2 linked regions of the Lytechinus pictus genome follow. The protein of the gene in region 1 purifies or fractionates together with the protein of each later gene. This does not show direct contact. Links are inferred from orthologs where the notes say so. Each region holds a gene or a part of one and is shown on either strand. Other genes may lie near its edges.

Region 1 (9,583 bases):
AAGTATCACTGAACATCTTGTGCGAGTTATAGCAGTTTTCAAAATCAGCACTGCTGCTATATTGAATCGCGTGATGCAGGTGAGACGGCCAGAGGCATTCCACTTGTTTTATTCTGTCCCGCCGAGAAAAAGGTGCGGTTAATACACTGTTACTTACGGTACATGATTTATTGTAACATCTATCCTGATTACACCTGATATAGCAACCAGGACGCTTGTCGCTGTGCTTTTGGTCTGTATTCAAGAATTAGCTTCGTGCCGATGAGACGAATTCGTGTAGACATTTCCTTGGTCTTCCTCAAATCGTATGCTGCCTTTTCCAGCTCGTACCGCACCTGCTTGAGCTTTTGTGGTAAGTCTATGCGAATCGTGATAGCCGACTTAGATCTCGTTCGTTTCAGCGAATCGTGGTATGCACCAAGAACAGCATCGCGATCAAAAACCGTTACGAATCGTGCGATAATCGGGTCTGGGTTGGACGGGGTCGCCGATGACGACGTCGAAGATTTCCTCGGCAAACGATGAATGTTAACAAATTGAATATTCCGAACTTGGTCTTCGGGTAAACCAAGTTCTACGATAACCTTCCGCAGGGTGTCAGTAGTATTTTCTCGTGGGCTCTAGGGAACTCCATAAAACAGAAGATTTTGTTTACGGTCATGGATCTCCATCGCGATTGATGAGTCACGCATCATTTGGTTGGATTCCTTCTGCATTCTTGACATTCCAGGGAGGGTCTCGCGTTCTAATATATCGATTCTTGCCGCCGAATTAGCCGATAATGCCTCAACTTCATGGAGAGAAGATTTGATATTTTTCATTTCATCTCGAACTGATAATAATGTTGCCGTTACATTATCAAGTTTGTCTAGAACTTTTGAAGAGAATTTGTCAAATTGGTCCGACACCGCTTCCTCCGTAGCGTACGTATTAGAAATGGGCGTGTCACTGAGTTTGCCGGTGTACGCGGCAGATTTAGATCTTGTATTTGACATTATCAACACATAAGAAGCGACAAAAATCAATAAATGGTGCAAATCCAGTCAATCAGATATTATATTACCTTATGATGCTGAGAAGTAGTTCAAAGAAGGTCCGTTATTGTGGATTTGGAGAGAAAATCCTTCTACATTATCTTCAAAGCGCCCTCAAATTAAAAATGCTTATTATGAAGATTAAACGAGTGGAATACTGACTAAAAACATAATTGTTAACGAAATATATTATTAGTAAGCCATGTATGTGATGAATGTTGTATTTTGATATTCAAAATGGCTGCCAAAGGCCCTAAAAGTATTATGCACAATGAGAAAGAGGTGCAAAGAAATCACACAAAAAAGTGAGTGAGCACTAAAATGCATATATATATGTAATAAATTAAATAGGATACTTTCTAAAAACGTATTTTTCAACGAAATATATCATTCAGGTTTTAAGTTTGTGTTAAATACTGTATTTTGACTTTCAAAATGGCCGCCATAGACATTGACTGTATTATGTACAATGCAAAGTGGGAAACCAATATTCACAGGAGTGAGCACCATAAATGCATGTAGTAGTGATCTATGAGTAAAACATTGTCTGAAAGCATAATTTCTATTAAGATATATCATTTATTCTGCGAGTTAGGTGATAAATACTGTTATTTTTAAGTCAAAATGGCCGCTACAGGCCCTTGCGGTATTATGCACAATGTGAGTGGGAACAAATCATTTCAACGGAATTTGGCTTTGCTTGGCCAAATGGTGATGTATGAGTGAAATATTGTCTGAAAACATGATTTATAACAAAATATATCATATCTTATGTAATTTAGGTGATAAATACTATATTTCAATATTCAAAATGGCTGCCCATATGCCCTTATATGTCCCATGTTACAATGTACACAATACTTTTAGGACCTATGGCAGCCATTTTGAATTTCAAAGTACAGCATTTATTACCTCCACGACCAATATGTGATGTATTTAGTTAGAAATCATGTTTAAGACAATATTTTTACTCGTACATCACAGTTATATGCATTTTATGATTCTCACTCTTGTGAAAATTAGTTTCCCTGTTCGCATGTTACATAACTTAGTTAGGGCTTGTAGACATCGTAGAGGTTATTTTGAATGTCAAAATACAGTATTTATCAACTATATGGCAGAAGAAATGCTATAATTTATATAAAAAATATGTTTTCAAATAACATTTTACTCATACAACAGGATTATATGGATGTCATAGTCAAGCAAATCCAAATTCTTACAAAATTATATGTCCCCATTCACATAGTAGAAGTAGATAATACTGTTAGGGCCTACAGGGGCCATTTTGAATTTCATAATACAGCATTTATCTCATGCATGACAAAAGAAATGATATGTCTTGCAATGAAACATGTTACTTGTCAGACAATATTTTACTCGTAGATCACAATTACATGCATTTTATTTTTCTACTCGTGTGAAAATTAGTTTCTCCATTCGCATTGTACATGATAAATATAGGGCCTATGGCAGCCATTTTGAATTTCAAAATTCAGCATTTATCAATGAATTATTTATGAATGGCATATTAACAATTATGTCAGTATTCCACTCGTTTATCTTAATAATATGCAATTCAGTGCTCACTCTTGTCATTTTTTGGGCCCCGGCCATATGATTGCCATTGTACATAATACTCTTTGGGCCAGTGGCGGCTATTTTAGACATCAAAATACAGCAATGTTCTCATATATGACATGATAAATGATATATCTCGTTAGTAATGATGATTTGCATATGTTACTTCGTTCATACAACGCGATTTTTGCAGTTTAGTGCTCATTTGTGTGATAATTAGTTTTCCCTATTCATATTGTACATAAAAGAGTATAGAATTTTGTCAAAAATTATTTTTTCAGAGAGTGTTTCACTCCTGCCACACAATTTCATGCATTTCATAGCCAATGGGCGGACGATTTTATGATTTTCATGGGTAATTTGCATATTTTGGCGGCCATATTGGATTTTGTCAATTTGCGGAAAATGCTCAAGGTTAGACGAGTGGCATCATCCAGATTCGTAATCAGCACCCTTGAATTGACAAGAAACCATCAAAAATTATTGTATATACAATAAACAAGGTTTGGTCCCGGGGGGGCCACTTCCATTGACGAGTGGATACCATGCGCGACCATGTGGTCTCAAAAAGCACCCTAAACACGTATTTTCCATATTCTGAAAATGCAATAACAAGTATTATTGGCGTCTGAAACCCTACCCTTAACAAGTATTGGAAAGAAAATGATACTCTTGCATGGCAAGTATTCCCTGAAATGAACCCCTAAACAAGTACAGCGATATGTCACGGGTCCGTCGGTCGTCGGTTTTACCTTTACACACCGTTTGGTTTAGTACGGCCCCACCTTCCACACCTCTTGCAAATCGGACTCTAAACACGTAGTGTTGGGGCAAAAAGGACATCCTTTATAAAACATTTTAATTTTGTTTTATCATCCCCGCAAATTTGACCCTAAACACGTAGCTTTTCTAGCGAAATTGATACCCTTTTTTCATTATTTTTTGTGTTTTTGACACCCTTATCACGTTACGTACGTAACGTGCCCTATCTTGAAAAAGACATCCTTTTTACGTGTTTTTTTGGTCGCGCATGGTATCCACTCGTCAATGTAAGTGGCCCCCCCGGGGGTTTGGTCAATTCTCTATGGGGCCTATCCCGGACTAAGAGGCTTGACAGACAGAGCAACGAGTAGTGTGCAAACTGGATTATACATGTATTACCAGTCAGACCGCAGGTCCCTATGCTAATGAGCAAAAAGGCCAGATTCATCCAAATCATCTCGTGGCTGAATCCTCCTCCTTGCAAAATCTCGTGATTCGTGAGATTTTCTTTCTCTAAGAATTTACCGGTTTTAACCTCAAGTTAAATGAAATATTATTGCACCATCAGATAGAGTAAATGTTACTCTGTCATATTGGTCATTTATTTTGTATACAATATTTTGTTAAATAAGTAAATTTCTGGCCTGAAAATGTGCCTCAAAACAGAATTTTCTTCCTCTGTTTTCTTTTGCAAATTGTGCAAAACTTTTTATTTTGAGCCTCAATGATATATATATCACCATAAAGCTGAACTTCTGTACTTTCTCACAATGCCACTCTTCATATGCGGCACCTTTTAATCGGGTCAAGATCACACTTTTCCCACCAAGGTACAAGACGAGATTTCTGAAATTTTGTACTTGCATGAAATCCAGAGTTCTGATTGGCTGGATAAGATTCACAGAACAACAGGCGCGGGGTATTTGAGGAGATTACCACATGGGAAGTGTGCCCTTCCCATGAACCCATGCACTGGAACCGTTGGAATTTGCCAGTGTGTGGTCTCTTTGACCAATCAGAGTGCAGTATTCTTGTTTTCAAGCTGCTTTATGTACTTGGCAAATGAAAAGTGTGATCTTGACCCGATTAAACCAATTCTTATTTTGAAACCTATATCATTTTAAAGCATACATATTCAGCTTTGTCATGATCTAAAAATCATTTGGGCTCAAACAAAAATAAAGTGTGAAAATAGCAGCTTTTGTCAGGTGAAAATAATTATTTTGTAGCATATTTTAGATCAAAATTTTAACCTATATTACAAAATCTTTGAATAAATTCAAACACATGACCTGAAAGAATGATTCTTCTTCTTTACAATGATACCAAATTCATGAAATTCGATGCACAAGTAGAGCAGCAATGACCGAATGAAAAGAGGTGTTTTGGTCCGCATCAAGCTCATTAAATATGCAAAACATCTCAAGTCATGAATATCACTTGGATGAAAGAAGCCACTTTCTTGGGATCTGCCGTCTGACTGTTACATTGCAAATAGACCTTCAGCTGTAACACATATAAATATAACACGTATATTCAAATTTTATATATTTACAGTCAGACCTCTCTTATCCGGCCTCCCCTTATCCGGATCTCTCTATTATCCAGACGCACACTTGCCGAGATTTTTTTTTTTTTTTTTTTTTAATTCAATCTAGTACGTGAGGAAATGAGATTTCAATCTAAACTTAATCCTATACGCAAACTCACTTTGATTACATATATTTTCCAATATAGTCTACCTACAACAAAATTATTTTTTTCATGAAAATATCTCACCGAAAGAACTTAGGCATGATAATTTCCAGTAAATCAGGGCGCAGCGCAAACATTTCATCACGTTTCTCTTTTTGCTTTCTGGGAAAAACAACACATGTCTCGCTAGCTAATGTTAAGCCTCAATACGGACTGCTCCATCTGTCATGTTTGAGCCTACAGTCAGTGTAACAATGGCTGACATTGCGAAGCTGCGATACCCGTCGCGATCTAATTGTAAAACTTAGTTTCATCGAGTCATTCTCTTTCTTTCGAGGTATGCTCGATGTATACCTCAATCATTTTAGCAGGTAAATAATCCAACAGTTATGGCCATCGATCGATTTCATTTCCGTAAAATACCGCCTATAATTTGCACTGACACTGCAGTGAATACTGTCTGTACGCCCACTACAATATATAATGTGTAGCTACCGCCGTTGGGCTGGGGAGGCAGCCAGCAGCACAGCTGCGTGTATTTAATATTGGGACTCCCAGATCCGGATAAATCCCTTATCCGGATTGGTGCTGGTCCCAACGTGTCTGGATAAAAGAGGCCGGACTGTATTTTATGTTATCATATTATAATGAATACTTTTCATAGGTTGACTATATTAAACACAGGAGTAAAATAGCTTGAAATACCTTCCTCTCTAGCAGTTATTTGTCTGAAGGAAAACAAAATTTGCTTCGCTACCTCGTTCATGGATTCTGTGAAAATTTGAATGCTCCCTTTGGCATGAGCTTATCTATATATATCAAGGAGTGACTGGTATAAAACAAAGGGTTTTACAAGGTCTAGTATGATTTTTCTGAATTTCAGTTATTACATTGAATAAAAACAATTAGACTATATACAGGTAGGTCTTGTAAAACATGCAACATTTTGAAGGGGTGTGCTATCGATGGTTCACACATTCTGTGTACAATCATCAATTATTACCTGAACTTCATAATGGCAACCTAAAATGCCATTTGGAAAGGTAAATTGGTATAGGTTGCCCAGCTGGCAACCAAAGAAAAAAGTGAAGTGAGAGCACTCAGGCACTTTGGGAATTTCTTCCTACCTGGTACCAATTTACTACAACGAGGTGGAGAGTTGCAATGAAAAAGAATTTGAGCCCTGGATCTTGTAGTTTATTGTCCAGAGACATATCCACTCAGCCAAATCACCTCTATATGTGATGCTTCATGATTTTATTGCACATGCATGCACTTTGTCACAGTGACGCAGAGGCGGAAAAATATGATAAATTTTGACAAAGGGAATCGAAATTTGTCTAATTTCTTGCCTCCACCCCTCATCAAATGGGATTGCAATTAAAGTGATGACCATTTTTTACTTGCCAAAATATATTTATGGGAGAAGTAAAAACAAATGTGGTGGCCTTTGACCCCTTTTTTTCTTGTCAGAGCATTTTGAAGAAAAAGTTTGCCCTCACCCCCCTTCCCGGGAGTGGATCCTCCACGTATTGCATTTTTCCTTGTCTATTTTGTTTTAAATCTAATGTACATAGATGAAGTCACATTCATATTGTATTTGTATCTTATAATTTCAGGGCCAAAATGATACACCTGACTTGGATTTTGAGTATGATGATGCCCATAGATATACCTCTGAAATCGCAGGTAAATAATACATTGTCAGACTTATTTGCAGCTGCTTGAGTATCATAGTATAGGTCAAACAAAATACTTGGACCTTGGATTTATGTAGGGTTATTTTTTTAACCTGACCTTACTGAATATTAGCATATATATAAACTACATCTAGGAAACATTTTCAAAAATATTTTCAAGTATTTTTTAGGAATATTACACATCAAAAGATTGTTCATGATACATAATTGTTTTGGTTCCTCTCACTGGGATGTTATGTGTCTCTTTCAAGGTTCCTTTACTTAATATTTTAAAACCAACAATATCAGGGAAATTCTGTTGAGGTTTGTACAAATTAGATTGCACTATTTTGCTTGGAACTAAGATAGAAGTACTTATGACTATCTACATATTCCTACTAAAAGTATAAAACAATTGATGATACACTTGTTATTGTATGACATTCCTATTGAATTGTATACCAAATTAAAAATATAACTATGGATGGTTAGTAATTGTGGTCATTGGGATATACCAATGTAGTAACGGTCCATATGACATATTGATGGCTTTAGACTTATTCGATCATTGAGCAATGACATGCAATGCTTCAATGATCAAAGCTTGTTCATACATTTTTTTAAAGTTGAGATATTGATGTTTTATCAATGTACAATACATAGCATCTCTGCTGGTTGATAAATTCAATGATAAATTCAATGAAAACTGAAATTCAGGAAACCTAATGAAGGAAATTTCTATTCTCATCTTATTCATCTAACATAATGCAAAATTTGAGAATCGTTTGGAATACAAAAAAAATTCAAAGAGTGGCATATCAGTTCTTGAATACATAAAATTAACAAGCATAATCATTTAAGCATTTTGCATTTCAATTCATTAACTAGATTTTAATTCGTCATGAGGACGAATTAGGTGGTCTGTCATAGATCGATTAATGGATAAACAGACATAATTATTTAAACAAATGAGTAGATATTAGATTGAAAGATAAACAGACAGACAGATAGACATGTATATTTAAACAGATACATATAGGAAAGAAAGAAAAATAGATAGATAGATGGATGGAGAAATAAATGATTGGTGGATAGATTAATAGAAGATAGACTGGTATATTATATATTGAGATAGATAGATAAATAGATAATGATTAATGACAAAAATTACGATGATGATGATGATAATGATTTATGACAAATATGATGATGATAACAGTGATTATGATAAATTTGTTATACACATAGATTCAGAGACAGATAGATACATATGTACAAACACAGATAGACAGACAGATAGATAAATAGATAGATGGATAGTAAGATAGATAGACAGACAGATAGAAAATAGATATACCGTATACATGTATGTATATATTTAATGATAGATAGACATATAGATAGAAAGATAGAATAACAATCAGATTTAATAGATAGATAGATATATATTAGATAGATAGATAGACAGACAAATAAACAGACATAATTATTGTAACAGATCAATAGATATCAGAATGAAAGATAAAAAGATAGACATACATATAGACATATATATTTAAACAGATAGATATAACATAGATAGATGGATGGATAGATAGATAAATAGATATAAAGATCGATGGATTTGTGGATAAATAAAATATAGGTGGATAGATTGATAGAAGATAGATAGATAGATAAACATACATAATTATTTAAACAGATAAATATTAGATTGAAAGCTAAATGGATAGATAGACAGATATATTCAAACAGATATAGATAGATAGATCGATAGAAAATAGTTAGAGAGACAGGCAGATAGATAGATAGATAGATAGATAGACATATTTTATTAGATAGATATATATTAGACATAGAGATAGATATATAGATAGATAGATACATGTATCATGTAGGTAGATAGATAGACAGATAGATAGATCGATAGATAGCTAGACAGATAGATTGATCGATTTTTAACATAGATAACGGATAGATAGACAGATATGATTAAAAGGATAGATAAAATATGAAAAAAAGTAATTAAATCTGTTTTAGTTTGCAATATTTGAACTATTATTCATTAGAATTGTTATAAAAGATCATGTGCGAGATAGTAAAAAGTAAAAAAAAAAAAAAAAAAATTTCATATTCACCCTCGGACTCGAACCCGTGCCTGCATGACTGAATGAGATGCAAGTCTGACGCCTTACCCATTGAGCTACAATATTTCCCATAGACTTTACATGTATGCAATATACGAGAATCTCAAATCCAATTTTGCAAGTGAAATACGGGCATGATCCCGGCATCTGATCGGAAGATTAAGGCAACAATTGCGAAAGCTTAGAATCTCAGCTACAACATACTAAAAGCTCAAGGAAAACCGACAAGCAAAGGTGAAGATATGGCTCACGAAATAGAGGAATGTAGAATCCAGTTTTAAGAAAAAGTCATCTACCATAGCGATTGCACGCAAAATGAGCAAAAATGACATGCCTCTAAAAATTGCAATTTTTCAGGATGATCCGTTCATCAAAATGAAAAATAAAGGTCATAATTCAGAAAGAGTAAGACCTAAGCTACAACATATCAAAAATTGGGCAAAAATTGACCAATATTTATGGAGTAAGAGTAAAATTTTCATAATTATAATGACGTCATAACAAAAAAAAAATGAAATTTGGACTTCTGACGCCCTTTTGATGACGTCATGATATATGTTAGGGTCAAATGAGACATGAAATCATATCTATGATTCATACTCTATCGAAATATGAAAAAAAATTGGGGGTCCCCGTTCGTTCTGAAGAGCTATAATGAATTTTCAATAGGCATGTTTTTGCCCAT
Region 2 (8,707 bases), on another chromosome or scaffold:
CCCAAATAATTTTCCCCTGATATACATGAAATATTACTTTTCCTGAATACTATAAAATCACCTATAGCTCAGCTGCTGACAGGATTCATATTAAATTTTGATGACAATGCACACATTAAACCAGGTAAAATCAAGTTTACAGAACTAGCATGGGGGTATTTAAAGGGGTCATTTTACAGTACGGTACTACAATCTGCAATGCATTGTTGGATATTCTTTCATAGAATTCCAAGGCAAAGTATCAATTGAACATTCATAATACACAAAGTATGAATTTCTTTTAATTCCATAAATAGAGATCATTTACATGTACTGTACAGTAATTATAATGACTATGATGATGATAATATTGATGAAGATAAAGTGAGGTTGATGATGGTGAAAAGGAAGGCAATGTACAATGATCATGACGAGGACTATGATTGATAATGATGATGATGATGATAATGATGATGAAAGTGTTGGAGGATGGTAGTGATAGTGGTGGTGGACATGCTGGTAATGATATTGACGATGATCAAAAGATCATTCATTACGAAGAACCTCCAATATTCATGTATTTTATACTGTACATGGACTAATTAAAAGGGTGCTCCAGGCTGAAAATATTTTAAACAAATAGAGTGAAATACACTCAGTAAAATGCTGATAATTTCTTCAAAATCTGATAGCAAATAGTGAAGTTATTAAATTTTAAAGTTTAGCAATTACATTGTGAAAACAGTACGGTAATACGCTTGTCCTCATGAACATTCATTAGGCGAGCTGATGTCACATCCCCACTTTCCTTCTTCTTATCTTATTACATGAAATCATAATTGTTTCATTTTTTCATATATGTATGAATGATATGTGTCTCCTTTATAATGAAATAAGTTGCAGCAATGAATATCCAATGCACTATTGCTGTCAATCCAATTGGTTAATTGTTGGAGGAAAAAATTTGAATAAACCTAATTTCTTACAATAACATACCAAAAAACAAGTGGGGGAAATGACATCATCAGTTTGATCATTGAACATTTATGAAGACATGCCTAGAACTGTTTCACCGGAATAATGCAATCTATAAAATGCCATAACTTTGTTATTCTCTGTCCAATTTTGATCAAATTTTCGGTGTTTTGATTGTCTGATTTTCTTTATTTGTTCAAATCAGATATTTTCAGCCTGGAGTATCCCTTTAATAATCAGTGCATGAAGCCTTTATACAAGAGACTGAAACTGATGATTGAATAGCCCTGGCTATAATTCTGTTATTTACAAATGTGGACAGTATTTTTTCAGATGCAGTTTTTAAGAATGTTTCAAACATGAAAATAACCATGAGTCACAAAACTCTGTCTTGTATGGTAAGAACATGCAATTGAAAAGGGCAATTGTATTTCTGTGGGATACATTGGAAAATTTACAAAATCAACAACCAGCTATCTTGATCCCAGGGGAGCATTTCATCAACATTTATGTCCGACATGTTGTCAGATCTGACATCTTTCCTTGATTTTGATTGGCTGATAAGCAATGTTACTATGGTAACTGTCGGATAAAATGGGACTTGTCGGATAAAACGTCTGACAAGTCCTTTCATGAAACGCTCCCCAGATCTATTTTTAATTTTGAGAAAACAAAGGCATTAAAATGTTCTTTTTCCTTATTATTTTTCAATTCACTTTAAGAGTTCGTTGCAAAGTACTAAGTTAATAAAATTACTTTCTAGCACATGAATTGGTCATATATTTTCTTATTTGGTTGAAATTTTGGAGTACCGTAAGTAACGGTGTATTAACCGCACCCGTGTATAAACCGCACCCCCAACTTTGGACTAAAAAAAAAAAAAAAAAAAAAACCTCACATTTTCATGCATGTTTGAGGTACGAAAAAACAAAAACTAAGTTAAAGTTTTCAAAGAATTCAAAGAGATTACCAGTATGCAGAAATCTGCTGTTCTTGATCAATTCATCTACAAATGTTAGCAAGAAAGAAAGGTCCCGCCAATATTGGCAATTTACACACTCACTCACCTCACAGTCACAGTGTACACACACACAGCACTGCCTTTCTTGTACATGTACATTTCAAACTTCGATACGGTACCACTACCAGTACATCTTATCAAATTGTGATGTGTCTTTCACATTTCTTGCATCAAAACCTCACAATCACTTTCAGAATTTGTCTAGCATTCGATGTCTTAGCATGAATTTTGGATACGGGATTACAGGAAGGTTCAAGAAACAAAGAAATTGGTATTTTTTCCAGTTGTTTGACGGCTTCGTGCCGTCTCTCTCGTGCGTGGTGCACGGTGTACATGGTATCTTATGAAAAGCAAACGGGAAAGAAAAAAATAAGCTGGCGCGAAACGGGACTTTGAGGGGTTAAATTAAATGAATAGCGCCAGCTTAAGTCGTACTAAAACCACAATACAACGCAAGCTAGCTCTTGGCTCTCGCTCAGCTGTGACAAATTATTACTGAGAATGCTTGGCGTCTCTTTGAACTTAGCCAGGGAACTTCACTGCTTTGAATCGAGAATAAAGTCGAAATTAGTGTCATGAAGGTGGGTGCATTTGTTACGACAGTATTTGATCATAAGATCGTAATAATCGCTACCCATTACCCGCGGCTCATACCCCTCTAAACGACATTGCACTGGGCGGCTACGCCCGGCCACTCGATGTGTTGTGAACTGGCAGACTTCTTACATGTTCGGGAGGGGTTACGCGGGCGGGCTCAGACCCGTCACCGTGTATAAACCGCACCCCCGACTTTTGCTTATATCCCGCCGAGAAAAAGGTGCGGTTAATACACCGTTACTTACGGTAACTTTAGAATCCAATGTCGTAATTGATTATGAGAACATGGATACTAACTAGTGTTAGAACGAGACATCATATATGCGATACCAAAATTTTCAATTTTCAATCTCAAAAATAAAATTGAAATTGAATGTAACTTATGAGGTGTGAACGCATCTGGTTATGCTCTTAGTCTTGCTTTGCACAATATTTAGAAAGCTGTCAAGCAAAATTGTATCTACTACTTGATATGGGAGTTAATTAATTCAGGTACTAATAATACAAGGCTGGTCAGTTAAAGCATGACAAAGGCCTCTCCTCGATCTTGTATTCTTTATTCAGTCAACAACTTTCACATTATCTCATTTTTATTTTTTGTCACTTTTAATTATCACAATTCCACTGATTCTTGAAACAATAGAAAAGGGAAGCAGTAGTTCCTTGTCCTTGACTTGACATCACTGATCCTGCTAGCTGCTGTTACTTAAAATTTAATTTCAAGAAAAAAAACAAAGTCAAGCTAGTAAAAAAAATGAATGTCGTTTGACAATGACATTGACAGTTGTTGTGGCTTGTGCTGATGAGTGATGTTGTGTCACAATTCGATTCCTGACCTGTTTTGATAATGAAACATCTGAAATAGAAATTTAAAAAAATAAAAAGAACGTCACTGACTAAATCTAAATCATTATCAAAATCATCAGAACAGTAACAAGTCAAGAATAAACAACAGAGTATTCATGGTATTCAATATAATCTAACGTTGATAATACACTAATTATTCACTCCGCTCAAGCCTCCAGCTCAGCGACGTGACTTTGCCTTGCGTGCATATGCATAAGGCATGCCATGGCCATGGGAATGCCCATACAGCCCGGCGGTCTATGACTATGGTTTGCGTGCGGGTGGGACAGCCTACCTGAAGTTCAGCTCGTTCCACTTCCCACTGAGCGCGTTCCATTTCGAAACGAGCCCATTCATGTTGTATAAAATGTAAAATTCCTGGTATTGTGTAGTTGGGTCTTGGATGATCATCTTGTTGTTTACCGCTGATGTTATTTACAGAAGAAGTTCCAGAATTCATCTGATTAACGTGGTTTTGCGACAGTCCCGATTCACTATCCATTCTGTATCCAGTATCCTATCTTACTACTACGTCGCCATTTTGTTGAGATGATTGGATGTCACGCTAGTCTTTTTCAAGATATACCAGTAATGGAGAAATAGTGATTGAGTGTCCCAAAGGCCCAAACTGTAATATAAAGAAGGCTTTAGTGGGTAAAAATGTTCAACCCGAAATCAGCTCTATCCATGAAATTAATATAAGTTATCCATTCACCATGCATGCATGGGGATGCATCTCCCCTTCGACCTCCTTCCCTCCGATCTCATCAATTGACGTCATACTCATACACTTGAACAGACTACTGGTAGACTTACTGTTAGACTTGTGGTCTCTGAAAATTGGGGGTGGGTGAGGGATATACTTGGAGAAAGATTTTTGTTTGTCTGCTGCACAGATAGGATAAGATTATGGTACATTCACTTGCACGTTTTTCGTACTCCGGGCTCTACCCAAGTTTCCGACTGGTAAAAAAAAAAAAAAAAAAAAAAAAAAAAAAAACCCGACCCTGAGTGTTACCACTGGCGACACCATGCAGGTGCATGCCCACTCCTTGCGTCCCGAATCTAATTTGGTCTCATCATGGACCTAGTAGTATGTCCATGGTCTCATCATACCTCGTTGGTTTTATGACATCATTTAGTATATTAAATCATAAATTGGGTACCTGGGTACTTTTTTGTAGTGAACCCTCCCCTCCCCTTTTTTCTATTCAAATTTACATCAACATCCCTTGTAAACAAAAAATCGTTCTCAGTGTCCTGCTTCGTTTTCCTCTACAGAATTCTGCTATTCTCATGCACTCATTTCTGAAAAAGCTTGGTGCATTACCATTTTATAAATCGATATATAGGCCTAATAGTGTCCATGTGTATCAATGCGATCTATGTAACACATCATCGTGGTCTTGACAAGACTTTATAAGTCTTTAAAAAAATCATCTCTTTGCTCAGTTAAGATCAACGTTAATTCACTATTATTATCATCAGAACATTTGAAGTAAAATTTGTGTGTCAAAGTTTCAATTTATTTTATGAAATCATTCCTCCGATTTAATCATCTCCAACATCACAATCATGGTCATCTTTATCTTCATTGCCTTCATCTTCACCAGTGTCACCATCATCCTCATTACTCAAATTATGAACCGATACTTTTTGGTTTTAAAAAATGTCCCCATTCTTCTTTATAAATTAATTTTCAAGCAATCTGCTGATGACAACTGTTCTACGGCAAATTGTAAATGTAATAATGATTTGGTTGTAGATATTTTTTGTTTGAAATAGTAGTATCAATTTTAGAATTCATGCCAAAAAAGCCACCACCATTGTGTTTGTTATGTTATGATAATAAATGCAGAAGGAAATAATGAAATGAAATCACATTATTTTCCTGCCAGTAACATTAGTAATACTTAAAGGTTAAAACTCATCTAAGGCCGAGCTGACGTGATTGCTTTGGAACCGAGTAGACAGGAAAATAATAATCAAATTCTGTGAAAACAGTTACTGGTGACAATGGTGCTTGTTGAGAACAAATCGACACCATCCTCCCCCAAGAAAGAAAATGAAGGGAAAAGAGAGGAGAAAAAAGAAGGGGAAACATAAGAAGAGGAAGACGACTGAATGACATAAATGAGGGGAAGACTTAGAAAATAATCAAAAAAAATATTTTATGTTACTATATAAAATTTTCGCTCGCGCTTCGCGCTCGCTTTGCCTTTTAGGTGAATTACATTATCTTGCTCAATATGGAGCTTCAAATATCAAATTTCGAAGTCAATATACAAAACATATTTCAGCTCGGAAATCGAACTTTCATTATTTTGTTTGATTTACAAATTGATTTTTAAAAAGTGCTCTGTAAAAATGTATGTTTTATGGTGGAATATTAAAATTTTCTGCTCGCGCTGCGCGCTCGCAAAATTTGATTTGTCAGGTATATTATTTTCCTGTATTCCATAAAGTTCTCAAAATATCCCTATTCAGATCAGATTGTCAAAGCATATCAGCTAGAGCTGCAAGCTCGCATTTTGATGAGTTGTGTATATCTCAATATTAATTCTCAAACAAACTACTTAAAATCCCCGTTTCATGAAAGTTCATCAAAAATTTCGGCTAGCGATTTGCGCTCGCATTGATTGTTGAAAAGATAAAACTCATGTATCTTATTCATAATTACAAAAGTGCTTAAAATGTCCAGTTTTCAGGCCGCTAAAATTTCGCGCTCTCATTAGGCTTATTAGAATAATGAATATTAATTTAATAATCAAGTTGTCCCTTTTTCATAATGGAATATCGACAAGTTTAATCTCGCGCTAGGAGGAGAAATAGGAAGATAGTCATCATTTATGATGACATAATGTCCTTATAGAATGTCCCGGCCCTATGTCAAAACTCAAAGTAATAATAATGAAACATATCAGCTCTTTTTTTAACTGTGATCCATATCCACCTCACAATTTTCCTACAAAGTATTTGAAATACAAAGCTTAAATCAACCCTTTTTCAGATCGGAATATCAAATATTTTAAGCCCGCACTTCGCGCTCGCTTTATTGATTTTCATGATAAAAAAGCTATTTAGAATACCCAAATTCTAGGTCGATATCAGATACGCAGCTTGTTCTCTATCTAAATCATTATCCAATTTCAGATCACAAACTATCAAAAATTTTCTGCTCGCGCTTTGCGCTCGCATTATTAATGTAAGAAGATTTCCAATTAGGCCTACTCATCCTTTCCATGATTTAAAAAACATGAATAGAGTGTCCTATATCTTTAGGTGTAAATCTCAAATTTGTCCGCTCGCGCTTCAAGCTCGCATCAATCGTTTAGTTATAGGCCTACACTTATCCTTTCACGATTAAAAAACGTGCTTAGAATTTCCATTCTTCAGGTAATAAGTCAACATTTTCAGTTCGTGCTTCGCTCTCGCATTATTTGATAGTTGAGATATGTAACGTCTTCATGGCTATCAAGCAGCCATTAACAAGCCATTAACAGATACTCTTTTGATCAGATTAAAACGTATATTAAAAATAAAAATAATTCTAGTCGCGATTTTTTTCCGCTCGCGCTTCGCGCTCGCATCTATTATTTAGTTATTATTTAATTACTTATCCTTTTCACGATTACCAAATGTGCTTAGAATTTCCATTATCAGGTAGAAATGTCAAAATTTTCAGCTCGCGCTTCGCGCTCGCATTATTTGATAGTTGAAATATGTAAGGTTATCATGGCTAACAAGCACTAGATCCTTTTTTGATCAGATCAAAACCTATATGAAAAAAATATTCTGATCGCGCTTCGCGCTCGCAGTAATTATTTAGTTTGATACACATCTCGTTTAACATCAGAAACATTGTCCAGAATGTTTAAATTTCAGGACAAAATACATAAAATAAAAAAGTTTGAATAAGGCTTATGAGATTAGTTTATATTTATGTTGATTTATAAGAATAAAGCATAGAAGTGACTATTAGGACTACCCCTTCATCAGGGGCGGATCCAGCCTTCGCCAATAGGGGGGGGGGGCGGAATTTGTTTTCAGCCACATTTTCCCCGATCGGCCGCTCGAAGTTAATTTTTGTTTGTTTCTTTGAAGGGGTAGTCCTAATAGTCACTTTTAAGCTTTATATATATGTGTGTGCTGAGGGCCCCCTTACATTATATAATATCATAAGCCTTATTTAAAGAGTGCGAGCGCGAAGCGCGAGCAGAAATTTTTAATATGCATTTTGATCTGATAAAAAAAGCATCTGTTGACGGCAGCTTCTTAGCCATAAAGACGTTACATATTTCAACTATCAAATAATGCGAGCGCGAAGCGCGAGCTGAAAATTTTGGCATTTTTACCTGAAGAATGGAAAACGATAAGTATAATAATTTAATAAATGATGCGAGCGCAAAGCGCGAGCTGAAAAATTCGAGATCTAAACCTAAAATGGGACACTCTATTCATATTTTGTAAATCATGAAAAGGATGTGTAATTGGAAATCTTCCTATATTAATAATGCGAGCGCAAAGCGCGAGCAGAATTTTTTTTATCAATTTTTATTATACGTTTTGATCTGATCATAAGAAAAAGGATCTGTTAACGGCTGCTTATTAGCCATGAAGACGTTACATATTTTAACTATCAAATAATGCGAACGCGAAGCGCGAGCTGAAAATTTTGGCATTTTTACCTGAAGAATGGAAAACGATAAGTATATAATTTAATAAATGATGCGAGCGCAAAGCGCGAGCTGAAAAATTCGAGATCTAAACCTAAAATGGGACACTCTATTCATATTTTGTAAATCATGAAAAGGATATGTAATTGGAAATCTTCCTATATTAATAATGCGAGCGCAAAGCACGAGCAGAATTTTTTTAATTAATTTTTATTATACGTTTTGATCTGATCATAAGAAAAAGGATCTGTTAACGGCTGCTTGTTAGCCATGAAGACGTTACATATTTTAACTATCAAATAATGCGAACGCGAAGCGCGAGCTGAAAATTTTGACATTTCTACCTGAAGAATGGAAATTCTAAGCACTTTTTCTAATCGTGAAAAGAATAAGTATATAACTAAACAATTAGTGATGCAAGCGCGAAGCGCGAGCGGAAAAATTCTGGACACTCTATTCATGTTTTGTAAATCATGAAAAGGATGAGTAATTGGAAAGTTTCCTACATTGCAAAGCGCGAGCAGACAATTTTTGATATTGTGATCTGAAACTGGATAATGATTTAAATAGAGAACAAGCTGCGTATCTGAATAAACACGTGTTTCAGATTTCT

What was found.
Region 2: the proteins of striatin-interacting protein 1 homolog (region 1) and striatin-3-like purify together in Drosophila melanogaster (affinity purification with western blotting; 4 studies listed by BioGRID, with this or other methods). This does not show direct contact. The link is inferred for Lytechinus pictus from reciprocal best matches to the Drosophila melanogaster genes Strip and Cka.

The regions. Positions count from the first base shown.
Region 1 is NC_087247.1:65,373,946-65,383,528, reverse strand, and holds the start of striatin-interacting protein 1 homolog, read left to right. Parts: upstream 1-6,100; coding exon 6,101-6,115; intron 6,116-6,691; coding exon 6,692-6,761; intron 6,762-9,583.
Region 2 is NC_087251.1:17,505,429-17,514,135, reverse strand, and holds the start of striatin-3-like, read right to left. Parts: upstream 4,208-8,707; 5' UTR 3,921-4,207; coding exon 3,714-3,920; intron 1-3,713.